Linked DNA regions of Styela clava. The protein of the gene in region 4 purifies or fractionates together with the protein of the main gene of each other region. This does not show direct contact. Links are inferred from orthologs where the notes say so. Each region holds a gene or a part of one and is shown on either strand. Other genes may lie near its edges. The genes, in order: CCR4-NOT transcription complex subunit 9, CCR4-NOT transcription complex subunit 11-like, serine/threonine-protein phosphatase PP1-beta catalytic subunit and F-actin-capping protein subunit beta-like.

Evidence for each region.
Region 1: the proteins of F-actin-capping protein subunit beta-like (region 4) and CCR4-NOT transcription complex subunit 9 purify together in Homo sapiens (co-immunoprecipitation; 3 studies listed by BioGRID and IntAct, with this or other methods). This does not show direct contact. The link is inferred for Styela clava from reciprocal best matches to the Homo sapiens genes CAPZB and CNOT9.
Region 2: the proteins of F-actin-capping protein subunit beta-like (region 4) and CCR4-NOT transcription complex subunit 11-like purify together in Homo sapiens (co-immunoprecipitation; 3 studies listed by BioGRID and IntAct, with this or other methods). This does not show direct contact. The link is inferred for Styela clava from reciprocal best matches to the Homo sapiens genes CAPZB and CNOT11.
Region 3: the proteins of F-actin-capping protein subunit beta-like (region 4) and serine/threonine-protein phosphatase PP1-beta catalytic subunit purify together in Homo sapiens (affinity purification with mass spectrometry; 3 studies listed by BioGRID and IntAct, with this or other methods). This does not show direct contact. The link is inferred for Styela clava from reciprocal best matches to the Homo sapiens genes CAPZB and PPP1CB.

What each region holds. Positions count from the first base shown.
Region 1 is NC_135256.1:13,256,464-13,263,775, forward strand, and holds CCR4-NOT transcription complex subunit 9, read right to left. Parts: upstream 2,561-7,312; 5' UTR 2,493-2,560; coding exon 1,587-2,492; 3' UTR 504-1,586; downstream 1-503. Other genes in the region: exonuclease mut-7 homolog, read right to left, coding at 1-495. UniProt on the Homo sapiens protein: Component of the CCR4-NOT complex which is one of the major cellular mRNA deadenylases and is linked to various cellular processes including bulk mRNA degradation, miRNA-mediated repression, translational repression during translational initiation and general transcription regulation.
Region 2 is NC_135260.1:20,403,993-20,411,238, reverse strand, and holds CCR4-NOT transcription complex subunit 11-like, read right to left. Parts: upstream 3,017-7,246; 5' UTR 2,754-3,016; intron 1,834-2,753; 5' UTR 1,769-1,833; coding exon 404-1,768; 3' UTR 328-403; downstream 1-327. UniProt on the Homo sapiens protein: Component of the CCR4-NOT complex which is one of the major cellular mRNA deadenylases and is linked to various cellular processes including bulk mRNA degradation, miRNA-mediated repression, translational repression during translational initiation and general transcription regulation.
Region 3 is NC_135250.1:14,154,878-14,162,071, forward strand, and holds the start of serine/threonine-protein phosphatase PP1-beta catalytic subunit, read right to left. Parts: upstream 3,023-7,194; 5' UTR 2,949-3,022; coding exon 2,897-2,948; intron 2,343-2,896; coding exon 2,211-2,342; intron 1,644-2,210; coding exon 1,413-1,643; intron 1-1,412. UniProt on the Homo sapiens protein: Protein phosphatase that associates with over 200 regulatory proteins to form highly specific holoenzymes which dephosphorylate hundreds of biological targets.
Region 4 is NC_135256.1:14,405,036-14,412,562, reverse strand, and holds the start of F-actin-capping protein subunit beta-like, read right to left. Parts: upstream 3,004-7,527; 5' UTR 2,906-3,003; coding exon 2,903-2,905; intron 2,333-2,902; coding exon 2,121-2,332; intron 1,373-2,120; coding exon 1,259-1,372; intron 555-1,258; coding exon 413-554; intron 1-412. UniProt on the Homo sapiens protein: F-actin-capping proteins bind in a Ca(2+)-independent manner to the fast growing ends of actin filaments (barbed end) thereby blocking the exchange of subunits at these ends.

The DNA.
Region 1 (7,312 bases), about 1.1 Mb from region 4:
ATCTTGCATATTGAGTTTAATCACCACTGAAATGGCTTCTTTTATCTTTTCTTGAGCTAATAAATCGTCAATAAAAGGCTTTAAGAATTCATTTGGCGGTTTATTTAATTCAAACACTTTAATAAGAATGCTTGAAGTTGCTGAATGGGCAACAACAATTACTGGCATTATCGCAAGCTTTAACTCCATGTTCACCACACAAGGAAGTTTTCCATGTTTTGTCTGGTCTGTGTACCACTCGTCTAAATTCTTTGCAGTGAAGAGAGCAATAGATTTGTTGCTTTTTAAATCTTTGCAATGCGAGAAAAATTCTACATGAGAAGAAAGTACATCACTTGTTGGATTAAACAAAGACTGGAGCGCTTCTTTTGTTTTATTCAGGTCACCGGAGCTGAATGACACCCAAGCACCCTGGAATACTCGCATAATAGCAAGCCGATCAAATTCCATGGTTTGATTATTTAAACAATTTTTTTGCAAGAGATAAACATACATACATTAGATCTGGCAAAAAAATAACAATTATTTAATATAAAGAACCAATAAAATAATAATAGTCAAATTACATACTAAACATTATCATTTTTATCAAATTTCAACACAAGGCACAAAGCAATATTTATTCCTATTCACAACAAAATGAAAGACCGGCATCATACCACTGTCATAAGCCAAATGAAAGCTGCAGATAGAAAAACTGTAATGATTATTGGCTCAATAAGATACTTGTCAACTACAAAAGTATTCAAAAGAAAATATTGTCACGACTCGTGATTATTGCTAACCAATGAATTTGCAAAATAGTGCAAATAAAAATTGGATTTATTACAAAAAATGTTACAGGGTATTTATTCCTGACAATTTCATCATTTGATGACATATAGACAAATTTTATTTGACCCCGAAGCTCAAAATCGAGGTTAATCAAGTTGGATTGAATTTCTACTTTTTATTCTTTCCATGCCCAGTACAAATTTGAAAATGTAAATCTGCATCAGTGATCTTGAGATGGGCATAATGGATTTGACCCAAATACTTTAAACTGAATTTACTCATAGCAAGTTTATATCGGGAGTAAAAGGGAATTATACCAGAGAAAAGCAACTGGAATATCTAACAATGTGCGTTCAGAAAATATACAAAAAAGCGTTGCTATGACCGATATCCAAGAAGTAACAAGCTCACATCAAACTTATTTAGGATATTGGGTATTCAAAAATGATATGATATTAACAATTGTTTCATGTATAGGTGTAAAAAGACATATTAAGCAATTTTCATGGTAATATCAAGTCAACCAGATTAGCAAACATCATATCGGTTATGGCTACCGTTATGTAGTAAGGTGGATAGAGATTGAAAATATTAAAAAAATGAAAATAATTAAAATTTTATCCAGTTGTGACTTGTGAACATGTGAAAAATGCAAAGACAATGGTGAGAAAAATCTAAATATTTATAATACAACTCAATGTGGGTTCACTATTAATAAAAAATAATTTACTCATTTATTGTATGATTTTTTGGAATATTATATCAGTTCTTGATATCAATTCAAATATATTTGTTCTAGTATTTTGAATTCGCTACTGCGGCATTGTTATCACTCTCTGGTCTGGGATACCAGATTCTTGGAGATTTTTAATTAACTGTGTCAACCACCTTTTTGTTGTGTTGTCATCTTTCAGAACTGTAAGAAATGTGGTATCTTTGAGTTGATCTGGAAGGCACTGACGCAAAGCTTCTTTTGCACGAGCATTATCAGAAAGTCGAAGATAACACCGGACGACATGCTTCAACAAACGTGCAGATGGTTCTTTTGAAAGAGACATAACCATTTTTCCAAGTATCATGGCAACGTGTGAAAAGCGCTCATATGTTTGACAAATGTATTGAAGACCAGTATCATCTAATAAAATTTTCTGAAGAATAAAAGTCGCTACAGTTTTTGACAATTCGCTCCCAGACTCCATGATTCTCAAGCAGAGCGGTATGATTTCAGTTGTTAGCAAGAATGTAATAACTTCTTGTTCATCAGTTTTCACAAGCGCTCCGATAACGCCAAGACTCGTTAATCGAAGATACTCGAATGGTCGAGTTTTACTTGTAGTATGCAGAAAAGGGTAAAGAAATAATGGAATGTGAGCGGTTAAAAAAGCAGTTCGTGTCTCTGGGTGTGAAGCAACACATTGAAGCAATGCTAAGGCATTGCATACACGATTTGATTGATGGGCTGTCAGCGTCGGTGGATTGATAGAAGGATAAATATTGACAATCTCCTGCAACAATGCTGCTATTGTCCCAAAAGAATGCCAAAGCATCGGTGCAAGGTCAGGTACTGTTTCTCGTTTCTTGCTCAGCTCCAAAAGAGCAGACTCTCTCGTATCCGGACTTGATAGTTCATTGATCCATCGGTAAATGCTTTCCCTCTCTACTACAGGAATTGCACCCGCATTAACACCCGAAATATGCATAGGTCCAGCAGCAGCCATTATTGTAATTATCAGAATTGTATTTATAAAATTCTCTGTTAATTGAGCTATATCGATAAAGTAGAATAAAACAATTTCAGTTTTCAAATATTTGATGGATGTAAAAAAAAAGGAATTGGGAGACATCGCGGTTCATAAACATCAGAATATGTTATTCAGTCACTTGCATCCTAAAAATGTGACAGACACTGGCGGAGGAGCCTTTTTTTTCTACACCAAATCTTAAATAAGCCTTTGTATCTTAATTATCCAAATAGGTCAATCCATGTAATGAATAAAACGAGAATATCGGTTGGAAACCGAAGACTTATCGATCGATAGTTAGGGGATCCCCCAAAACAGAAACTGCAGTTTCGATTCATCCGCTCTTGTAACTTGCGCACCGCACACACACACTCGGCGGGTTTCAAAATTCTCTCGCTTTACAAAAATCTAGATCACTATATCAATATTTGATTGATAACTCGCTAATTATACGACATAATTCGCCCAAAATCAATAGGATTCTGGTCCGAGATAAGATGAATGCACATGCAAAATCTGGAGCAGATTCAATCTCGCTTTCGTGAGATATCGCGTGCATCTAACAGACACACAGACATACACACAGACAAATACCTATCAATATACTTACCGATCTTAAGATCGATAAGTAATAACCTTTGCTTTGGGAGGATAGACTTTTACGAGTAGCTAGTTTTGAGCTGCATGAGTTAATCTGCTGGAGTTAATCTTTTTACAGCACAAAACAGATGAACACCACACTAAAACGAAGAATTTACACAAAACAGAAGAAAATAGCCCGAAACATAAAAAGTGTAATACATAATGCTTTTCTTATGTTAATACTGTAAAAAGTTAACAAAGATATATAATGATTTACTCCCGAATACCATAAAGTACACATTGTAGTAAAAAAATAATGATGATAAAATAGAATCGGAATGGATTTCTGTGAAGCTAGCAAAATATCATGGAAATTTGAGCTGACAGAATTTTTTTGCGATAATTTTCATACACAAAAACAAATATTCCCACTGAAAAGTATATTTTGAATAGTCATACTATAGTAACACAATTAGTAATTACACTAATATTCTTGCCATTTATTGGAAAACATTAAAATGATTATAATCCAGTGGTTCCCAAAACTCGGCTCATGGGGGTAACGATTTGATGTAGCCCACCGAACTCAAGTGAAATAGTTTAACACTTTGCTTTACCTTTTTTTCTAGATACCGCTAATTGTTATGTCATTATCATAGTTTATTATGTTGCATTTCGTTTATATATATATATATATACAGGGGCTCAGCCAGAATTTTTAATTAAGGGTTTTAAGGGGGTTCAAAATCAAAAATCCTATTCCCTTCTGAAACGGTCGACGCGATTACACGCGATTAATATCTCGACGCCGGTGAATTTATATTAACGCTCACTGATTCTCAATTCTGTGAGGTTACAAGAAAAGGTAATTATCATCATTGTCGTGGCACAAGACATACTCATGTTGAGGGAAATATGTGATTTAGGGAGAATAAACACAGAACCTAAAGGAGTTTTACGGCCTAAATACAGAAATGACTTCCGGTATCACGCTGACAAAAACAATCGGCGATTTTAGCAAAAATGCAATCAAATGTGTTATTATTTGACTTTTCCGGCCTTCCAAAAATTTTGAAAGAGAGTTGATCGTTAACACCACCCCTGGCTGCGCCACTGAAAATATGCATATTTATATGATTTCTGCCATCCGTCGAAGGTTTTTTAAGAAAAAAACATATTCGCCTAGTCCAGTTACCTCCCATTCGTATATCGAAACTCTGAATTCTTATTTTGTAGACTATATGATCGTTTTGTTTTTCTGGTTTGATAAAAAGCAATAAATTCACTCTCTCTATCCTACTAACTACAGGCCTTTTTGCCGGCCTGTCAACGTTTAATTGAAGATAGATTTCCATATTCCAGTATTCATCCAAGTATTGGAACAAACACATCTTCTGTGCCTTCAGAGTTTATTTTAGGCAGGCTTTCTTTCTTTTGTGCCAAATATATTCCAATGCCAAACGGAACTTTTGTATTGAGATTTTAGAATCGAATTAGACTATTATATTTTGGGAATTTGGCAATTTAATCCCCCCCCCCCCCCCCCCAAATACATTTGAATAATGGGCTATAATAAAAATCCAAACAAATGCAAATTCATACCGGTACCATTACCGGTACCATGATGTCTTCAAGTTAAAATATTCCATTATATGCCCCCAGGAGTTGAGTTTATCCACATTTAATCCAATCAGCAATTTTATATCAGCTATATTTTTATATAATTTACATTTTAATCGTTTTATTTAACTTAGGCTTCTGAATGATCTGACAAGTGGCAACCGTAGACATTTGACTTCATCTTCGAGAAGCGACCTCCAACGACTAAATTTTATAAATATATACCCCGTATTCGAGTAAACTGTGGTTATTCTATTTATCTATCAACAATTATGTACATTTGACCAATATAGAAAAAAATGCTATTATTTTATTGATATGTACTGCAAGATATAAAATTTGGCTGCAAAGAAATGCAGTGATTTTTGAAAATGTAATGCCAAGAGTGAATAATGTAGTCAATAATATAAGAAATTCAATAAAGTGTAGGAGAAATATAGAACGACTGAGAAATTTACCTAATTATTGTGAAGAACTTGATTTATTATGCAAATATATATAAATATGACTAGAAGTGTTTATCGTAATGAAGTGGAACTAATTCTTAAAATTTTCTTTTCCGTGCATTAATTAAAATAATGGTAAATGGCATCATGGAACATATAATTGATGATGACAACAAATGGGATTTACAACGGATATGCTACAATATGGATACAAATGATCAATATTTATTATGAAATTTATACTGTCTCATCTGTATGTAATGATTTATATTATTATTTTATCTATTTTTAACCTTCATTTTACGTATTTACTTTATTTCTCAATTATTTGGTATTAGACTATATCGCAACCAATGCGCAACCGATAATGCTGGTACAGTAGTTGGATAAGATAGTCGACATCACGGGGTGTCAGGCAAGGGTTGAAATACGACATACCACCTTGGCGTTTTATCTCCTGTAGGACATTCGTGCGAGAAAAGTCGCGTGAATATTATAAAAGCGTAATTAATTTTATGAAAACTTATAGTTTAAATATGAATGATATTAAAATGGGTGAACATAGAATTATATATGATAAAGTTTTAAAAAGTATTAATGGGGAAAGACTTGTAATTATCCGTAATTCAAATCTCAGTATAACTTGTAACAGTATTCATAATAAAATTTTGGCAAATTATATGAGGACCTTCAACTATAAGTTAATATGGGATATTCTACCCTTGAAAACAAAACCAGAGATCAAAAGAGTAGCAGGAAATGAATTATGTTTATTATGTAATATAGAACCTGAGTTTGTGTCACATATTTTTATGTTTTGTAAGTTTACTCAGAAAATTTATGATGAATTTGTTTCCTTAATTATATTAAAATTAATTAGAATAAATTTTGTTATAAATTATGATTCTTGTATATTATTGAATTTTAATGATCCTTTATTTAGTCATATAACAGCATTAGATTTGAATGCAATTATTCTTTTATTATCAATAGTGCGATATAAAATTTGGATAATGAGAAATTCTATAATATTTGAAAATAAAACACCTGACATTGCTCTCCTTAAAAAACAGATAAAAATGGCCCTAATGTATAGAAAAAATATAGAAAATTCCAGAGTAGACAAACCCTTTGAAAAAGAATTACAAAATTTATGTAAAGCATTAATTTAGATATTAAATCAGGTTTATAATAAGTTTTTTGTATTTACTAATTTTGTGTATTTCCTTTTATATTGTATTATATCATTGTAATTATTAAAAAAACATTATTATCGTTGGATACTTATTACTGATGAAACAAACTGGAAATACTGTGAAACTCAATTTAACAAATGGATCATGAATGGAATGTGGACTATAATTTATTTTATTTGTTTATTTATTTTTTACATATTTATTGAAATCACTCAATGAGTGAACCAATTAAAAAAAAAAAAAAAAAAAGAGAAAAGTCGCGTGTTTTCAATTTATTCTCGATTCTTTTTCTTTTTGGTAATATTCGTATTAAAAGAACATTATCTTAAATAATACCTAATATGGCGCCGTATTAAAACATTGTCAGACTAGTTAGAAGATAGTGATACTAGTTACTAGATTGAAAATCATTTTCTTTGTACCGTATCTGTTGTAGGTATATGGCCGTATGTTACGGTAATGTTGATAATACAGTGATATCGTATCACTCAAGTGTTTTGCTACCTAGCGTAGGATATTATCTTTGTGTCTTTTAAAAATGTTACTGTACGGTAACGTTTGAGAAATACAATGTCAACTGTTAATATTGTGATATAATATTTTGGTAAATAGGCTATGCTATATAATATAGGTAGTAATAGTATACTGTACCATATGGTAGGTACATAGTCTAATAGGCTACTATCCACAGGTCTGAATTGTTGGGAGGTTGATTTTAAAGGTGCAAAATATTTCATAGACAAATAGTGCAGTGTAATATATGTGGATTCCAAATACTGAAGTATAATCTCAATTAAGTAATATAACATTCTTACGTATGTAAATACATTTGTTCATACATTTAAAAATAGCGAAAGACTTCATTTTAACGTTTATTTTTGATGGGATTCAATGATATTTATGGAATAATTGATTTATGCCAATTTCTGAATTTGTTAATTCAAAAGTTCTC
Region 2 (7,246 bases), on a different chromosome or scaffold from region 4:
ATGCGCATCATTTACTCTCTTTCAAAAACCTATTTATCAATTGGCGTCATAATGACCCCAATTGTTACATTGTGCTGTATTTTAACGTTAGCGTAGCTGTTGAGCTTGAGCTTCTTTTTCTATCAAATTTCGCTGCGCAGCTGCCGTAATTTGCCAGCCCCCTTGTAATGAAGTCACATTAATCGTTGTATCTAGGTATTTGCAAATAAACATTTTTGATCATCCGTCCCAGTAATCAAGTCTATTTTCCGCATCCGGCCCACTCGGGAAAGTAATTGCCCACCCCTGACTTAGACCCTTCTCTGTATCGATATAAGTACATAAACATACTTGCACAATTCTGATTGTTTATTTGATGACGTGGCATCACTGAAAATTTTATATTGATTTCATATGTAAAACATTATTTTTTAGCAGCCTCTGCTTCTGCAGTGTCCAATTGCTTCAGCAAGCGAAATAGTCCAGCCGCTTCTCTTATGCGACTAAACTCTATACAAAATGCTTGCACTTCTATGAACAAGTCTTTGACATTTATAATGCGATTCCGTATCAGTGATTGCAGAAATACACAGACTAAGCGAACTAATCTGTTTTGCATGTATTTATCCTTAATCGTTTCACATGTTGATATGCAATTAGAAATATATAAATGAATAAATTCAGTTGGCAATTCCACTGCTGTGGTTAGTCTGTTAACGACTTCCATTGAATGTAGAGACATCTCCATGTTCACAAGAACTGAAAAATATTCCGTTATTTGGCTAGATTGCATTAACATCAACAGAACCTCAATGGCAACAAGTGGATTGTTTTCAACCAAGTCTGGTAGTTTGGCTGGAGTCAAACCCACATGATAGACCAACTTGGAATCATCGTTTAATTGCGCAAGAAGTTGTTGTTGTTGACCATTCGTTAAAGGATTTTTAAACGCTTTTGTCATCAATTTTCTTACTTCACCTGCTTTGTTTGTATTTTTTGTCATTTGACTGTCCCAGAGGAATTTATGACGTGCAGGCAGAGTTGGGTTCATCCAGACCAATTCATTATCTGGAGGATGTAAAAGTGGAATGGGTCGCACAAAGGTTGGTCTTATGTTTTCTGTCATTGGTGCTGATTTACCAGATAACAAACTTTCAAGGACCTGTTGCTGAACAGGCTTTGAATCCGATGGCGGATCGGCTTTTTGCATATTGGGAGGTTCAGGGTGGGGCATCACACAAGGTATACCAGTTTTGTTTAGCACTGGCAGTTGGGATTGCCGCTCCACTAAAGAAAGTTGCAAACCGCTAACATCATAAACAGATTTTTGTGGGTGAGAAGTATTTTCACCCTCTGAAAACAATACTTGCTTAGGTGTACGTTTAACTAAGTCCTTATTTGGTAATGATATCAGCTGCGACAAAAATGCTTTTTCAGAACTTGACAATGGAGGGAGTTTGCCCATTGCAGGTATTTCATGAGAAATTGTCAAATTTTGTGTGTTTTGCAGCAAGTGTACGAAAACTGTAGCAAAAGGGTTTGAAGCAACTGGTTCCGCTTTGTACATATCATAAAGCAAATATATTGCGGCAAGTCGCTGATTTGGACCAGGAAGTAGATCTCGATTTTGTAGTAACAGAACAATAGATGATCCAACCCGAAAATGATCATGCTTGTTGAATCCAAGACGTTGTAATGCAGAACCGAGGCTGTCAAAAGTGGTTGTGCTAACTGTATCCTCCCGTAGCAGGTTCATGACATGTCCTATTTCTTTTGTGGTCAGTGACATTGTTTTCTCTTGGAGACCCTTCGAGTTATGTTTTTGTCAAATCTAAAGTTAGGTTTTTGTCAAATCTAGAGAAAACACATATTGAGCATCAACTTACTGCTGCATCAGACCATGGAATGAAAAAATACAAGCTTATTTCTCCCAAAGAGTGAAAACCATTTGTATTATTTTACCAACCTCTGGTTCAGCACCAACTCTACCCAAAGGGATTGTCCCTGATATTTAAATTTTAGAAGTATATTATAAAGTACTAGCCTATTATCATTACGAAATAATCTTGTTTTTTTCTTTATGATTGACATCAGATATTCAGACTCATTCAACTTCTGGTAATTGTGAAAAAAATAAATCAAAACAAGCTCTATGCCAAGTAATCACAAAAGTGAGTTTATATGATTATACCATATTTCTGTATTTAGAAACTGAAGATTTTGTATTTAAAAATATCCTATTGAGCAATACATATTATTCTGGAATGTATTAGCTGATTACAACTGACCAGTGTTCTGATTCAAGACATGCCCGCAATCAAGATTGATTAAGAAGCAGAGACATGCCAGTGGTGACAATTTTCAATGACAGAACACACAAAATTGCTAACACCCAATATTTAATTTAGATATATTCGGATATTACAGTATTAACAAATGCAATATGTTTACAATATTTGTAAAGATTTGACAAAACAGTTAGGAAGCAAATTTAACCATTCGAAAACAGTATAATAAAGAGTTGACAAAAATTTAAAAGAGTTGACTGTAATACAGTAATACGAGATTGTGCAGTTGTGACAATGAAAACCTGCAGACCCACCAGAATTCATTTTTAGCTACTGTTGTATCGGTAAATCTTTTCAGTTTATTTGAAATCTTGTTACTTCTACTCTCCCACATAGTAAAAGCTAACTTCATTTCTCTTCTCCCTCAATGTTCTACCGGTACGGTAACAAAATAACGAAAAATTGAAATAGTCAACCTAAACTTACCGGGGTCTGATGTAGTTTCGTACCTAACATACTTCTAGTGGGCGTAGCATGACATTTTTTTTTTTTAATGGGATAATATAATAAATTATAACAAAAAGTACCGGTATATAACCATTCGAGCAATCATAAGATAAATAATCCAATATTCATTTTTCATATGTCCATTCCATCAGTGTTTTTTCACGTATCAATCCTGACCCCCAACTGACTACACCATCCAAAAATTACGTCAACACGACATCACAGTGACGTAATACAGCCCTTCAAACTATACGAACTCCCATCCAAGACGCGCAAACGAGCACCAGAAATCGAGCAGTTATTTCCCTCGTTTTCTCGTCGCAACGATTCCGATAAGAGAGAGATCGATAACGTCAGTCAGTTCTTTATCGCCGGCGCCAATACCAATTGGGCGATTGTACGTATATTTGGCAAGCTCTATGACGTGATTGTGATGTCGTAGTGACGTAATTTTTGGATAGCGTAATCAGATGGGGATTAGGATTGAGATATCAAAAAATTGTTATGCTACGTCCACTAGAAGTACCGTACGTTAGTTACTGATCGTACGGTACCGGATCAGTCTAGTTCGTTAGTCGTTGGCCTAGTCTAGTTCGAGAATTAGCTTTAAATAAAATAAAAAATTTCCTCGAAATGCACAGCTAAGATCGCCCACACAATACGTTAATACCGGTACGGTACCTAGTACCTACTAAAGTGTTATAGTCACTTTGGTGTCTACCCTGCGGGCTACCGAATGCGAAATGCACCAAAAATCGGGAATTACAGAAAACTGCCTGTACTAAAATACGGGAACAACGGGCAAATTCCCTAAAATAGAGGAGCGGCAAATAAACTTTTTGAGTGTATGTGGGGTATTACACTAGAAAGCGTGAGCAACGTGTAATATACACCTGCATAGGATAGGGTTGCCTAGGATTACAAATTTTCAAATGGAAACTTTCTAAATTTGAACCAATTTTGTTACACAAGAAACAAAACAACGCTCGAAACCAGTTTTCGAGTTTTTATGTTAGACAGATAAGATAAGTTTATTTCGATTCCATAATCAGCAAAAAGACGATAAAATGGCTGATAAAAACAAATGAATACAAACTGATTATGAAATCAGGAGAGCAAACAAAACCTTGGACAAAATTTAAAACGTACAGAATATAAGATGGAAGGTATTGCCAAAAAGAAGTGGTACGCGTTCACTCACCTAAAACTATTGAATCAAATCATTCACACTCGCACACACAACCATAGGGTTAGCTAACCATTTGTCAGCTACGGTATTTACTTCTTATCTTTGTTTGTTTACCAATAAAACAGCAGCTGATCACTTGAATGTTATTATTGGGATTCGCATTTCGACACAGGCACAGGCATGATGGATAACGAAAGAACAGGATTTGAAAAAAAAAAATAAACTACTTTGGCATTGCTGTACCGGCTAGCTGCCATTCCAATTTCACATACTTGCTTCGCATAGAACTAAGGAAAAGAAGTGACCAGGCATTTTCAGCATTTTATATAAAACTACATTGCATATAACATTTATATAAACACATCCCAATCATGTCCGTCTCGACCTAAACAGATTTATATTGGAACCCACCGCATCTGCAATTTGTTTGTTACACAAGTTAGACGCCCGAACAATAACACGTTCGTGTTTTTATCTTTTTCATAATATGTTTGTGAGTGTAACATGTGTAAACAGGCACATGCGAATCTACGTGTTTTAAACCTTACTAGATTGAGGTTTTGCCTGTTTTCCCGATTTTCCATCATTCTGTGTGTTTATGTTTTGTGTTCATTATTTGTTTTGTGCATGTTTTTGGGGGATGATTGTCGTGGTGTGTTTTTCCATTTGTGCGAGTGTGGATGAATGGGCACAAACGCTGGTTACGGCGTTCGCTTTCGACCTTTTCTAGGTGTTTTCATTTTCCCGATCTTTCCGTCTCCCATGTCTGTTTTTTTTTATTCGTGTTCTGTGTTGTAGACGAAAGGCTACTTCCGTAGTATGTGAACCAAGATGGCGGACACCGGAACGTAATATGTGTACCAGGTTAGAGTTAGGCCATAATTTCAGGTACAAATACTACGGGAGTCACTTGGCTAGTTCCCGAACTCGTAATAAAACTAAGGGAAATTGGAATAAAATTCAGGCCTAACCCTAATCTGGTACACATTCTACGTTCTAGTGTCCGCCATCTTGGTTCACATACTACGGGAGCACCTACGAAAGATCGAAATAAAATTTCGTTGTCGTATATTGTGTTGATTTACATAGTTATAACGGTGGAAGGGTAAGCCGAGCCGACTAAAAAGCAGGATCTTTCGTTAAAATTATGCAGTAATGAACAATGCGGAAATGAATTGAAAATTAGGAAGTCTGCATTGAGGTATCTAGAATGAATACGAATACCTAAAACAGATTTCATAGTCTTTCTGCCAATTCTGGAGGGAACGGTGGAAAATCGCGGAAAGGCGAGAAAATTTGATTAGGGGTTTCTATTATTTCTATGCAGAAAATAGCACTAGAAGTCGAGATACGGATTTTAGTATTGACAGCGTCCCAACGTTCGCCGAGGCATAGACCACCGAGTCCGCTCTTATCCTATCCTGAAATTTAGTGATTCCCGAAAAATAATTCTCGACCAGTATAAACCTACGGACGCCACGGGATGGATATTTCTCCGATCCGTGGCCCAAGTAAAATTCTACCTGTAGCCTACTAAACTACCATTTTATGCTTATTTTGACATTGTCATCAGGAGTAACTCTTTCTAACTATTTATATGCTTCATAACCATCATTTTGATTCATATATTTTACTACCTGCATTTTGTAATTGATTTCATTGTCTATTGCATATGTTTCGGGAATGTTTAAATAGTTTTGTTTGAAATGGTTATTTGATTTATACCTAACTAAACACTGACAAATAGCTAGCAAAACGATAACACGAGCTAATGTCAAAATTGAGAAAATGCAGAACATTGTCCTAGAATTGTCCCATTGTGGTCAGAATGTTTGCAGACATTCCAGAAAATCTGTCTGAGTGAAAAGTGTCTGACCGGCTGCTAAAATTTCAACTGTTACGTCATGTTGGGCATTGGGTGTCGCTGCTCGATAACCAGTTTGGTTACCCGCGGCCTCCCTTCCCCAGTAAAAATGTGTGTTGACTTTTATTTATTTTTCAAACTGATAAAAAAAAAAATTGACAATGACTCTTGTTGGTTAGCTCATGTTATAAAAATAAACAAGGAATTTGGCATTCCGGGAAACATCCGACACTTGGCACATGAAAAATATTTCATTTTTGTTGCTTATCCTATGTTTTTCGCGAATAGGCATAAACAAACCGGTGTACATGATTCATAATATTCAACCACTTGCCATTTTAAAGCACTGTTAGCTAATTTTAGTCTAATCTATGTAAGCATTCTTGAGACCAATGTTTATTGCTGACACTGGACTGAAACTTCTCAGGAGATGAGAATACTATAGGGTTATGCAATTGTCGGAACCGAAATGGCGGAAACGCAACTAAAATTGACAAATAGCTTGCCAGACCACGAAAACGAGATAATGGTGATTTTCATATTCATCCAGGGGTTAGAGGAAAGTCGATGGGGAGGCATAATCCTAGGGCGAACCACGGCCTCTCGTCCGGTTACCAGTCCTTGTTGGGTATGACAATAGTAACATAGTTATCCTCACCTTTGCAATTCAAAGCCCTTTTCCCATGTCTCATCGTTGTGTAATTATATATATATTATTTTTTCCTAATATACTGAAATGTTATGAGTGGGAACATTTTGTCTAAAATGATTGCAACAATCATACTCTTAGTCACAAAGATTCGACTGTGACTGTTTACGACTATATTGTAGAATAGAATAAAAAATGATCATCTAGTTCTAGTGCTTCTCATTATGTACTACATTTTGCAGGTGTTGAATGTTATTGAATCCACATTTGAGACTTCTAAAAATTTTCAAGGCCCATCGATCAAGGTATTGGAGCCTTCGTTATACACAACTGATATGTGTGAAAAAAGTCAATATATAAAACAAGAGAGCGATTTTCAAATATATGAACACGAAAGACAAAACGAGTTGTACGAGTATGCCATCTGTCAGAGTATATTAACGTTATCGTAGTCTTCACGACTTCGCCTTTTAGCGAAAAGTACAATCTTTCGTGTCCAATAAGAGAAGTTCATCTAAAAAAATTAAAATAATATTAATAATTCAGTTATGATTTTATTTCTGTAGAAAGCATTAGTAACGCTGCAACTACCAACCCACAGTAGCCTACCTCCCACTGTTATCTACTGTTTTTTTCACCTTATTACTTATCGATTTTAATCGGTAAGTATGTTGATAGGTATTTGTCTGTCTGTTTGTCTGATAGATGCACGCGATATCTCACGAAAGCGAGATTGAATCTTCTCCAGATTTTGCATGTGCATTCATCAT
Region 3 (7,194 bases), on a different chromosome or scaffold from region 4:
ATGAAGTAATAAAGTTTTAGTTGACATTACACGCAATTAATGCTTTACATTATAACATTTATAAAACGTGATGCAACCTTTATATCGCATGATTGAATTTTTTCTGAATAGAACAACATAAGAAAGAGTTTACAGGCTATGCGAGAAAAGAAGGCAAGCAAATTCTATCTTATTAACAGGATTCCTTTACCATAATGGCCTTATTTAGTGCTTGTGTTAACGAGTGATTTAAAAAGAGCACGCACCAAAATTTGATATCTAATCCTGAGGTAAATGAGGTTAATGAAATGTCTTGTACAACAGTAATAATTATGCCGGCAAAGTATGTGTTAGATATCGTGGCTTGAAGAAAATATGACTTAATTATTATGACAAAGTAGAATAATTTGTGACTGAGAAATTTATTAAATAAGTAGTTAGTTTCAGCATGTCAATTAAGGTGTGAGAACTTGCAGAAAATTAAAACATAAATATCAAAATAAATAGTGAACCAAGGAAGAAGCACATAATGCAATAAAATGGGATGACTTCCATTGTCATCGAGCTACAAAGAACTATAACTGCAAATGGTGTTTTCGGTTTCGTATAAACTGTACAATCTATATAGGTATAGTATATTATTATAAAAACTGTTTGAAGAATTTAGAAAACCGTGTAACATCTATCACTTATCGCAAGTTACTGACTTACTGGTACTCAAATTGTTAACAATTTTTTTTATCCAATTTATGAAGAAGAATATTGTATTATTAATGATAATATGGAAAAACAAATATTAAAATTACATCCATACTAGTATACTTGGTAATTAATTTTTATTAAAATAAATATGTAAAAAAAAAATCAACAAATTCATTAACAATTTCCCAAATAAAATTGCAGTAACAAATATCACCGGTCCAAACTGGATTCAGAGTCGCAAAACATTGCACACACAAAATTTGACTTTATTTTGCCCATTTATCAAAAGTAAGATTCCTTCTTATCAAAGTTTAGTCTATCTGTGACAACAGTAATTAGTTCCTATCATTTATTAAAGGTTACTTTTGATATACAGCATATTCTATATGCCGTAATTTCCTTGCTTAATTAATACACAGAGAAAATATAATTTACTCCTATTCAATGGTTTCCCCCATTGTTAAATCAATGTTTACTGTAATCAATACCACGAATCAACATAGATAGTGTCATACTGTAGTGTTATGATTAATCAAATTAAAAGTGATAATATTCTTAGAAATTGAGACTAATGATTAATGAACATACTGCACAATAAAAAAATTCAAATTTACATTCCAACATAAAGGCATACAACCACCCTATCAGACTTTTGGTGTCTACACTTTTCGTAAATCAAAAATTGTACAGTGAAATTCTAGAATATCAAACTGATATATGCTCCTACTTACATTCATCATGAAATCCATATATACGATTGATGCTGGCACATTCATGATTCCCTCGAAGTAGAAAAAAGTTTTCAGGATATTTGATCTTGTATGCCAATAACAAACAAATACATTCTAGAGATTGTTTTCCTCGATCCACATAATCACCGAGGAAAAGGTAATTAGAATCAGGCGGAAAATCACCATACTCGAATAAACGTAATAGATCTGTATACTGTCCGTGGATGTCTCCTAATATTAATGAAACATTCGTATAATGAATCAGGTATGATCATCATATTTACATTCTATTTATTAAATTCTTCGATTAAAGATTGGTCTATCAATTTGTACAGTTGGACTAAGAAAAGAATATTCTTGTGACATTATAGACAATATTATTTTCTGTATTATATTTGTCAAGGAAATTCATTTGAGCTGTTGCAGTAGGGAAAGTTCTCAGATTCCACGATTTTCCGACATTTGTTTCTATAAAACAAACCGGATCGGATTATTTTTTCTGAGAAATGCGATGGTGGTGTTTTTAGATTGCTCTTCCTTTTAGTTTTATTGCACAGTTCCGAATTGCTAATTTTTGCCTATATAGAGGCCCAGACTGTCTCGTAAAGGAGGGGTATGGGTTTGCACTCAACTGTAATCGATCGATATCTTTCAATATGTGAGTTATGTTAGAATCGGAGAACTGTGCCATATTGTATTGTCCTAGCTCTTAACTTCAGTTGAACTTGATTGAATTTCTCAATAAAATCACATACTTAAATTAGGAAAACTAAATTCAAGATCATGATTTTATCTCACCACATATTTTCAATGGTGCTTCCAACTCCAAAAGAATAGGTTGACTTAAAAATATTTCTCTTGATTTGATACAAAGACCTTTAATTTCTGCTTCTGTCATTTGTACTGTTCTCCCCGGTCTGCCCCCACGAACTGAAATATAGAGAATGGTGTTTACGAAATGCTTTCAAAGTAAGATTAGCATTAAAGATCTTGCAGTAAGGTCAGAAGGTGATATAAGGCTATATGACAGTTTCTTCTGCATAAACCCATATTTTATTAATAAATGAAAAAAAGATAATAGGATAGGATTTACATATTTATCCTGGGGGAGAGGGAAGCCGATAAGACGGCTTAACCATATGACAAACCACGGCCTCTCGTCCGGTTACCATTCAATGTCGGGGATGGGATTAGTCAGTTATTTTTTGCAAGCATGGACTTGATGGTGGAGGAAGCCATAACCGACCAGCGGTTACGTGAACCACCCTACGGCGGCGAGGAGTCCAGCAATCCTCTCGCACATGACCATCCATGCATGTTGAACCTGAGAAACCCACGAGGAGTAATCAGAGGTGCAGTGGTCGAGCGTATTACTAACGCTTATCACGATGAGCCACACTCTGACACTGCCACGCCGGTGATAGCCTATTTGGTTAGAGAAGTTAATCATATCTTGGAATTGAAATTAAAAAGTTAGTACTAACCATCAAGAAGGCGTTTTATTAATCCATCAACATCTAGTTCACTGTCTGCCATGTTCTTTAAATATTTTAAAATCAATAACTAGATGATAGACTAGAATGAAAATTCAAAATAAATCATAAATCGTTAGTTGCGCCAATTGATTCTGGATGACACAAGAGTGTGAATGATTTTTAAAAAAAAAGATGGCACCACACTGCAAGTTTTAGGAACATGCTGTCGATGAATGTTTGGCAAAAAATTAAACTCAAAGTATACAAAACAGTTTAGCACTTTCTGACTTTAAAAATGTTCGGAGCAAAAATGCATAAAATTGAATTTATTTTTCGAATAAATCAGGGTGAATCCATGAAGATTGAATTTCGCATTGCAGTATAGTTAAGGCAAACATTGCTCAGATAGACTTTATATTATATAGCCTACATGCCGGATTAGGTCTAACCATCTTGATATCAAATGCTTGTAATGGTGAATTTTTTGAATAAATATATTGTATGACAGTACAGCAGTATGAAGTACAGTATAACTAGTTTACATGTACTCGAATATGTGATTTATTTCAACATGGCTGGTTTGAAGCTTCTGCAGGTGTAGACTACTGTTACAAAACAGTGAAATACTGGTATTCACTATTCCAGTATTCAGCTGTATTTGTAGAAACAAATCTGATACTGGTAATACTGTAATAGGTTTAATAGGTCAGTAGGTTTGTAGGTAGACTATCTGCTGATCTGATCAAAATCGTAATTCTAGAAAATATATATTTATTCTGCATATTCAGATATTGCTGTATTGCCACATACAGATTTGAGGAAGAATAAATAGAAAAGCAACATTCACTGTTCAAGAAGTGTGGTATCGGTACGGTACCGGTATCACTGTATCAAGCCAGTCACCGAATGTTACCGTATAGAACTGAAATTATTTTGCATTATTCAACTTAGAGCTAAAGTTACATCATGATTCTGTAATTTGTATCGTTATGCAGTTGTGGGTAGGTACGGTAGGCACGTACCGTTCTTCTCGTTTTCGCAACTCCCAAGGCGATTGAAGAACGAACCATACGGTAGTACCGGTAACGGTACCGGTACCAGTAACGTTTTGTGACCGAAAAGTCTGTGGGTCTCACGTACGTCCAGTGTAATACTTTTAGAGGGTGTGGCTAAACAATTTCTACATATGTCATTCCTGGCCCCATCTGATGATGTAATCCAAACATTACGTCAACGTGACGACATGATATATATAGAGCTTTTTGCGTTATGGCGTCCGCATCCACTTAAACAAATAGGGGTACCGTACGGTACAAACGCCAGCGATCTCTCGCATCGGAATTATTTCGATTAGCTGAAAATAAATATGAACAGCGAGCAGGTATAAATCAAATTCTCGGACGAAAGTTCAAGAGGCATCAGAGCAACAGCCGAATTTTGCTGCGTTACCGGTATAGTAGGACAACAGACATGAATATACAAATAAAACTCTTGTACAATACACAGGACAAAGAGGTACTGCACCATGATGATATGTACAATAGGCAGTTTATGGCACGTTCATCTCCCAGGTTCTGATGTGAATAGGGTATAAATTAGGGTTAGCATTTCGGGACCAGTTTTTGAAATCCCGGTATCGGGATATTCCGGGATTGAGCCGTATAATCCCGGGATTTTTCGGGTTCAAGTAAAAGATCGAAACAACTTGCATGACAATAAAATTACGTATTTATTTCATGTAATATCGGCGCGGAAATATTAAAGCATCTATCAGTAAGTAGTTTATTTTTCACCATACTTCAAAATAGGCACAAACATACAAATTGCAATAAATTATAAATAGGTCATATTTCAGGGTGAAGGAGACGCGGGAAACCAGTACTGGTTATTGAGCACCGGCGCCCATAAAATAAGACTAATACTATATTATAAAGAAGAAAAAGTCGAACTAAGTATATGTAAATTGAAAAAAAATGTAAGTAAATGGTTCCCAACCTTTTTGGACACGTTTAGTGGCCATAACGATCGTTTCAATATTATGTTGTTGTTGTTCTTTGACACGTTTTTAAAAAGTCGCTTTTCTTTTCGAATACTGGACCAATTGCTTTGAAATTTTCAGTGGTTAAAGATTAATTTTTTCGCTAGAAGGCTATTACTTTTATTTATTTCAAAATTTTGCGTGAATTCTATGAAATTTGATATTTCGTCTAAAATTTTGCTGTATTATTTTTTATCCATGGGAACACGGATTTTAGTCAGTGTCATGACTGGCTGTACGTTTTGATTCTGCAAAATTCTTGCTACTGGAAATTCAGAACTTTTTTGAGGGTACCGGTAGCGTCAAAGGTACCGGTAAGGACTGATTCGCTCTGGTCTAACGTGTCCATATATTTGTGCGTAGCTCTCTTGTTTTTTAAATCGTGGCACACTAGTTAGCTCTTTCAATTTTCGTGGCACACCTATCACAAAACACGAACATTTTCTAGTCATGAAGAGTGCGATATTTGAACACGAACAAATGGTTAATAGTTACAAATTTAAAGCAAACGAAAGCGTCTTCGCAACACCTCACATTGTTGTAAAAGTCGCGCGGCCGCATGGGTAATACGTGGTCTTCAAACGCACCGCCGATCACGCGCTTCGGTTTTGCTCGCCCTTCCACGTTATGCTTTTATTATTGGACACGTTTAGTGGCCATAACGATCGTTTCAAAATTTTGTTGTTATTGGACACGTAGTGGACATAGCGATCGTTTCAATATTATGTTGTTGTTGTTCTTGTTATTTGACACGTTTTTAATAAGTCGCTTTTCTCTTTGATTACTGGACCAATTGCTTTGAAATTTTCAGTGGTTGAAGATAAAAATTTTCTTCAGAAGGCTATTACTTTTTTTTTCTGCAATGACGTCATCAGAATTATTGCCCTTAGGGGGCGCTACGTGTCCATATATTTGAGCATAGCTATCTTGTTGTTATTTTCTTTCGTCATTATCATTAAAAAATCGCCTTTCTCTTCGAATACTGGTCCAATTGCTTTGGAATTTTCAGTGGTTCAAGATTGATTTTTTTGCCAGAAGGCTATTACTTTCATTTATTCCTGAATTTTCTATGAATCTTATGAGATCTAATATTTCATCCAAAATTGCGCTGTATTTATTTTTAATTATGGGAACACGGTTTTTAATCCGCCAAGCGTGACGGCTGACTGTGAAAATTCTTGCGACTGAAAATCCGGAACTTTTTGAGGGTACAGTACCGGTAACGTCAAAGGTAAACCCTGCTTCGCTCTAGTCCACGTGTCCATATATTTGAGCGTTGCTCTCTTGTTATCACTCGTATTCTCACTTTTTCACAACCCAATTCATTTTTGGACACGTAGTGGACATAACGATCGTTTCAATATTATGTTGTTGTTGTTCTTGTTCTTTGACACGTTTTTAAAAAGTAGCTTTTCTCTTCGAATACTGGACCAATTGCTTTGAAATTTTCAGTGGTTAAAGATTAATTTTTTCGCTAGAAGGCTATTACTTTTGTTTATTCTTAAATTTCATATGAATCCTATGAGATATGAAATTTCATACAAAATTTCGCGGTATTTATTTTTACTCATGGAACACTGTTTTACACTTATTTCAAGCGGTTTCGCGATCGATTGTCTTGCTCAGTACTACAGCTACTGTAGGTCGGTACTGGTAAATTGCCATACAGGTACCGTAACGCAGTGAAATTGACTTATTCCTTCCGCGGTATTACTAATGCTGCAATGCAAGTTTTATAGCCTATCGTATGCGGAACGGAATATCAGACCTACAGGTTCGGTACCGGTACTGGTAGCTCAGTACGTAAGTACGATACTGGTACTGGTGCCGGTACCGGTGTCTTACCACAATGAAATTACCGTAACTTATTCTTTCACGGTCCTACCAGTGCAGTAATGCAAGCGTTGTAGCACTTGTAGCCTACTATATTTGTTTATTTTGATGAGAGTCTACTGGAAACAACATAAAATTTGAAAGGGAAGAATTGTTCTGTGATCAATTATCTGTCCTAAAGTGTAAACAACATAAAATTTGCCAAGGGAACAACTGTTCTGTGATCAATTACCGTATATGGCCTACAGTGTACAGGTAAGATGCTGGCTGACTGCTAACCGGTACTGGTAGCTCAGTACGTAAGTACGATACTGGTACTGGTGCCGGTACCGGTGTCTTACCACAATGAAATTACCGTAACTTATTCTTTCACGGTCCTACCAGTGCAGTAATGCAAGCGTTGTAGCACTTGTAGCCTACTATATTTGTTTATTTT
Region 4 (7,527 bases):
AAACAGAAACACACTCATACGACGATAATCTAGCAAACCAGAGTTTAATAAGTAACAGGGTTTGAGAATATCCAAATTCAAATAAGTACCTGTGTGGCTGTATTTATGTAAGAGCCTCATATAACAAAACGAATACATCTGATAAGACTGATATAAACAATATACCAACCATTTCAATGAATTTTCTGTAAGTGAAGTCCTAATTCAGCCAAATGTACGATTCTCTAACAATATTTCTGGAATAGTTACCGTACTATAACATTATTTCTCATATAATAAAAAAATATATATATCTTAGAACATGCTTACAAAAACTTACTCTGGAATAGTTACTAACATTATTTTTTGAGTAGTTACTCTAACATTATCTCTAAAGTAATCAAAAAAAAAGAATATCTTAAAACATGCTTACAAGAACTTCCACAATGTGTAATGAGTCCCAGCAGCCTTTGACTTTCTTCGTGTTATCACCAGCCTTCTTAATAAGGACTGCACCAGCAAAACCATGATCAAGATCCCAGAGGTACACAGATGATACACCACCTTCATAATACCTATGAACGTAAAAAAAAAATGGCCAAAATTGAATTTTCGAATTCACATTTTTGAATACATACTGAGAAAATATATTCGAATATAGAATATCGAATACATTCTGAATTGGGGGCGAGTTCACGTAAAAAATTACATAAATCACTATATCTTCATGTTGATCACATCTGGCACAAACATAAAGAGCATTGGTTTCTCTGTGTTGTTTCCTGCCAGTTGACATATTGTATGTTTTGATTTGTTCTAATTCATTCCTAAATTTGAAAATTCGCTATATCGAATATAATAAATTTCGAATGTGTTTGAATATTCGATTCGTTTTGGACAACATCCCTGGTTCGAATATTAAAATCGATGACATCAATAACACGATTCATATAAAATATAGATTCATAAGCATCAGGTATTTAAAAAATACCAGGCCAGCGCACACAAACTAAGTTATGAAATATTTAATAAATTAATGAGGTATTTACTGTAGAATTCTTCAATTTGAGTCGACTCAAAGCTTCAACAATATGAGCAATAATATTGGTGCCAAATACCTAATCGCTTATGGGAATAATATAGAGTTCTTTAATTTGAGTCGATTCAAAGCTTCAGCAATATAAGCAGTAATATTTATTGCTGCCATGCAATCATGGAAGATTTAAATTGAATCAAAGAATATCCTCCACTGTCCGGCCAGCCCTGTATTTATACTTACATTTCCCTATAGGAATCAAATGCAGAATTGGCTTCAACTTCTAATTTGCGTAATCTATCTGAAGGTTCAGCACCATCTTCTATGGGTGGATCATATTTGTTACTCCATGGCGACCTGCAATAAAATTAGCAGTGACATAATAGGATAAATATAGTTCTCGATCTACTTAAAATAGGATTGTCATATTCATAATGATGATCCATCCCTAAGCCATTAATTATATGGTGGAAGGCGATAAACATGCCATCTTTCTCTGTTTATGGATATCCATATTAGCCGGAGAAAAAAACAGACTATTTGTTTTCCTTATTATCAAAGACACAACAATATTATTAAAGATATAAAAAACAATAATAAAAATATTATGATGATTAGGAATGTAAAAACTAATAGGAATCGACTATGGCCCAAATCGCCCACTAGTCTAAATCAAATACATTTCAAATTGAAAATAAATTTTATATTTGTATTATCAAATAAATTCTAATTTGAGTAATGTCAACAGAGAAAAAAGCTCATACGTAATAATTCACTATAACAAATATCTCTAATTTTCAATGCTCCCAAATATTCAGATTCTTCTGAGCATTAGCAATAGGATTTAACTTTATGCAATATATATAACTAAGCTCAAATGAAAGATGGTTTAATGTTTGATTCAGAGAAAAGATGACAAAAAGTGAAACAATAATAGTGACAAAGTTGTATTCAAAATAGAATCTCTGTTATAATAAACATGTATTTGAATGACAATAATCTAACTCACAAAAGCAAAGACGACACCAGAGGCAAGATTTAAAGAAGTTTTAAAGGATCTTATTAAACTGATTACAACGTGTGATGAAAGGTCCATACAACTAACCTGTAAGAATCACCATCACGATTATAATCACAAAGAAGATAATCCTTTCCACTGTGCTTATCTCGAGCTATTTTGAGCGGTTGATCAACGGAGGACAGGAGGTCTTCACATAACTCTGGAACAAGGTCAATGAGGTCTGACAAATTTTTCTCAACCTGTTGAGGAGGTAACCTTCTCATCAAATCGAGCGCACAGTCCAACTGCTGCTCCGTCTGTAAAATAAGAAGATTATTGACACATGGATGTAGGCTCACTATTAAATACTCCAATTCTACTTCATGACATCTGAGAAAACCATAAAATAATAATAATTAGAAATACAAATCTGACAAAAACGTAGACACAAATTTTGTTATTAGCGGACTAGGTATATACACTAGTTTTTAAATTGGCTGTGTAAAAACGTATAAATCGTTATTAACAACTTTTATTATTTACAGGGTGAAATTTGGCATGTGGCCTGGACAATATATCATTTAACTATCTTGGGAGTTTTATGGCGTTTTCAATAATTTGTCATCGATTACTCTGAGTAATCGTTAATGTACAAAAAAAAAAAATTTTGACGTCATTATTGTATTGAATATAAATATTTCAGATACATAAATAAATAGATAGACAAATAAATAAATGTTATTATTTCAGATAGATAATCTGACCCCTCAAATACTAGACCACAAAAAGGTTGTAGAACCATTGTATCAATTATTGTTCCATTTGCAGAGAAGAAAGTTGATGCCTGATGGCAAACTGGATAAATCATCTTCGTAACCCTTACTCACCATTTTTCTTTTTGTCACAAGACTGAAACACCGATGTAGAACACTTCTTTGGGAAGTAATAAACCTATAATATGCCTATTATAAATACACAAACCTGTATATTTCAGACAAAAGAATATTTTAATAATCATATTAAAATTACCGGTACTGTTTCACAAAATAACTTTTATAGACTTTTTGTGAGCTTCCACATCTGAACTTTACTTTAAACTGAAAATTAACTATAAAGTCATTATTTATAATACAAATTTATCAAAATAAATGAGTAATCATACACTTGGTAACTACTTTTCAAATGCCTTCATCAAATCACTTCCATAATAAACTTTTGACAGTCAGCCCCATAGCAGGAATGGCAAACCATTTTTACTCAGTGGGTCTTACATTATATTTATAGCATGGGAAAAAGCATGCGGGTAACAGATTTAATCAATCTACATCTACATTGCTGTGGCATCTTTTCCGCAAGATTTATAATTCTGGCTTGTTTTGAACTTTACACATGCAGGACTGAAGCGATTTCTGGTACTGAAATTCATGGCTAAAAAACATGGACTTGTGTGCATATAAAGAACCAAAAAGAGATAACAGTGCTACGACAAATTCATTCATGGTTTTAAATAAGTTTGAGATGGAATTCCACTCAGAGAGAATCCTATTTTTTTGCTGGCTTGCAATCTTACTGCAGTCACTATCATGTAACATGAGCAAAGAGAACTGAAATAGATTCAGCGAAAGTTGATAGGAATGAAAAGCTTTATTATATTGTTATGTCACAAAAGTTGTAACGGCATTGTTGCCAGTAGCTGCAGAGGTATATTGAAACAGATATTCCAGTTCACTCAATGTTAGATAAATTGAGGTTGGTCTACTACGAACTGGCTGGATTATCGAGAAACATAACAGTTGGTTTTTCGTCATTCATCCCCTATAATGAAGTCATTACAAGGTACCATTTTTAATAGTAAAACACTAAATCCAGTATGGCACAGTTCTGATTCCAAGAATAGCACCCACATTAAAATATATCATTTATAACAGTGAGTGCAAACTCCTCCTACACGAGACTGTCTAGGCTTCCATAACGGCGAACCAGCAGCTGCGCAATAAACTAAAAAAAAGCGTATTCTAAACATGTCACGAATAATCCTATTTACCTAAAAGAAAAACCGTAGCATCCAAGAGTTTTTTAACAAAAAACGGCAGTGTGGAGAAATTTGGTCATGTGATGGCCGACACACGTCGTAATTGATTTAAATTTTTATTGAGACAAGCATGACACGATCTACCGATGCATCAGGATGCCCTTGTTTTCGTGAAAAATGTCTGAACATCTCAAAATCAGAAAACTGTGCCATACTGAAATCTCCCATATTGCCACATGCTTGAAACTAAATTTAAACAAAAATGCAGAAAATGTTTTGATTTATAGATTTTTGATTTATTTATCAGAAAATAGATTTTGACAATTTTCTTCTAAACCGATCAGTTATGTTATTCAAATATATCCCAATTCCCAATCCTGCATTCATAATTTAGTTCCATTTAAATAATTATATTCAATATGGCAGAATCCCCGATATCAGGATTAATATAAGATATTTCCACCAGAGAGATTATCATTTAAAGCGCTTTGGTTTTGCCATTCACAGTTAAATAAAACAAGAAGTACAGGCCATTATACTGTTTTCCATGATTTTGAGGGTTTTACAAAACAATACTGAATCCTAGTAATACAATTATTAAATCGGCACAATTGTGTTATACCACCCTCGTGATAGTTAATTAGTGATTGCAGTATATCAGGGATCGGCTTTCTCAATAATATTACCATTTGAATGTTTAGGAATTCCATATTCTGATATTAACAGTAACAGAAAAATTTTGACATACTGATATATTATGTTTATATTCCAATTTTCTGATGCAATAGTTACGTACTGTTCCAATTTCCACCATTGTTTGGTAAATGGGTATTTATGATAGGAGAAAATGAAAGAGACAAAATAAGTAAAATATACAACACACTACTGCACTATGTATGCGCACTATTATCGATTTCAACAGGGAGTGCTATGTTGCAATTGCAAATACTGAAATATGTGTATGCTAGGTATTGAATAGCTGACAAAGTAAATTCGGAAATTAGGTATTTACATAACAATTTCTAAGTCTTCGAAAGAGGTTGTCACACAATACTTTGATTCATTCAATAATGTCGCTAATTTCGCTTGAAAGAATGTTTCATATATTTTATTTATTCATTCCATGTCACCAATAATATATGATATTTTCAAAGGTAAACATGCACTTTTCGGTTGATATGAAATGTGTAGATATATTCACAGATAGGGCATTACTGCATTAAATTACAAATCATATTCTCTGTTCTCCTCCAACAAAAACAGACTATATCTTTTTCATTTCCATCAAAAGTTATTTTGCAGTCATTATAGCATACTTTCAGTCCATACGATAAATCACATTGCGATGAAAATGGCAACTACCTCATACAGAGATTCATGACAGCTAATTATATTTGACTTTCTGACTTTAGCATGACCTTCGTTCGATGATTATAGGTTTGAGATATATCCAACTTATTTAAGTATTTGGCGCACTTACTGTGGGACAGCATTATTGAATATAGGAGTATAAATTTAAAAATTGACAAGCAAATGATCAGGCATGCTGGCATCATAAACAGGAAAAGGTTAATTTTTGCCAACCACGGTGGAGAACAGCGGTTCTGATTGTGAGACATTGTGAATTTACGGCGATGAGTATTTCTATTTAATACAGCCATTCGCGTGCCGCCCTCGCCCAACAGCCAAAGCACTAAGACAAAAATCGAAACTGCATCGGTACGGTACACGTCTGCCAGCCTGAGAGCGATTGGACAAACAAGAACCGGAACACTCCCATCGCAGAAAGCCGACAGAGTTACGCATCAATGCTTGTCCACAACTTCCTTCACGAAGGCGGGCACAGTGGTAATCGTGAGTGAGAGAGCGTGAAAAATGTACGCCCGTGCTATATCGAAGAAATTGAGCTTTTAATTTTTGATGTAAATGATGAGTCATATTATTTACTGAGCCACGACGTTCAACTGTCCTTGACAGACTCGCGCACAACCAGTTCTCTAAATAGCGCACCAATTTAGCGGCTATGTCCACAACAACCATCAACTAAAGTTCTAAATGTAATAAATTGTTCAAAAGCGTTGATACGATGAATAAAAATGAAAATAACAACTCTATTGCAATAAGCTCTAAACAACTCTGTTTCAATTATGTGGAACTTCATACTAATCTCAAAAGACACTGATTTTGGAGTTTTTCGTTAATGTGTCATATAGGATAGGATTCACATATTTATCCCGGAGGGGAAAGGAAAACCGATAAGACGGCTCAATCATATGGCGAACCACGGCCTCTCGTCCGATTACCAGTCCAGGTCGGGTATGGGATTAGTTAGCCAGCTATTTTGTTCTCGGAAGCATGGACTTGATGGTGGATGAAGCCGTAACCGACCAGCTGTTACGTGAACCACCCTACGGCGGCGAGGAGTCCAGCAATCCTCTCGCACATGATCATTCCCGCATGGGATTCGAACCTGCGATCCTACGAAGGGTGATCAGAGATGCGAGCGTATTCCTAACGCTTAGCACGATGCGCCACACCGCCGATATATCCTATTTGTCAGGTGAGCAACCGTTTCGAATTCCTTGCAAGTTTTGGTCATATTACCTGGTAATTCCTTCACTTTTTGCTGCATTGATACGTTATCCTTCTCTCTATGTGTTATCATATTTGTTCTGTAACGACAAATTTGATGACAAAAAGATTTATATAAAAAGTACACACATAACCTGGAAATTTAAAAAATACATACATTTATATTTTTGTCTTTGTTTCAAACCGTTTTTGGTTGAAGAATCATTCAATCTTTCAATTCATGAAATTGACACATAAACAGGGGCGCATCAATGCTGCTGCTGATTTTATTTACAGAGTAGACAAGAGCTGGAAACGTGTGACAAGTACCAACTGGTGCAAGTTTGATAGTTTTGAGTTTCTGGTACAACTTTTTTTATGTTTTCTAGTCTTTTTGCTGATTTCGTAGAGCAATATTATTTTCTGCTCCACGGGAAGGAAGTGGGGCGGAAAGCAATACACGGACGATTCGCTCACGTCGTTTTTCTTACCAATGGAATGGTCATGTTGGCACCGTGAAAAGGAAAAATATCTGTTTCTGTTATATTTCTATTCAAATAATGTTTTTGAGACAAATTAGCATAACCGGCATGGGCGTATAAGATAATATAAGATTTCCATTTCATCCCGGGGGATGAAAAATTGTAAACAAGAATAGAACGTAAAACTAATCGTGAAGTTGTAATTATAACGCCGCACCTTGACTTGTTTACGACGTGCTTCCCGTATTATCATTGGAAAAATGACATTCGTTGTATTAGGAAGTCTCTTTGCAGTAATAGTTGAATTTATAAGTAACGATTTTAGGTATATATAAAAATGGTCGTGGTATTGTTTTGTTAGAAAATAACACAAGAAAACGTTACAATTAAAATCAATTAGTTCTAAACCCTCTACTAGACACAAAAC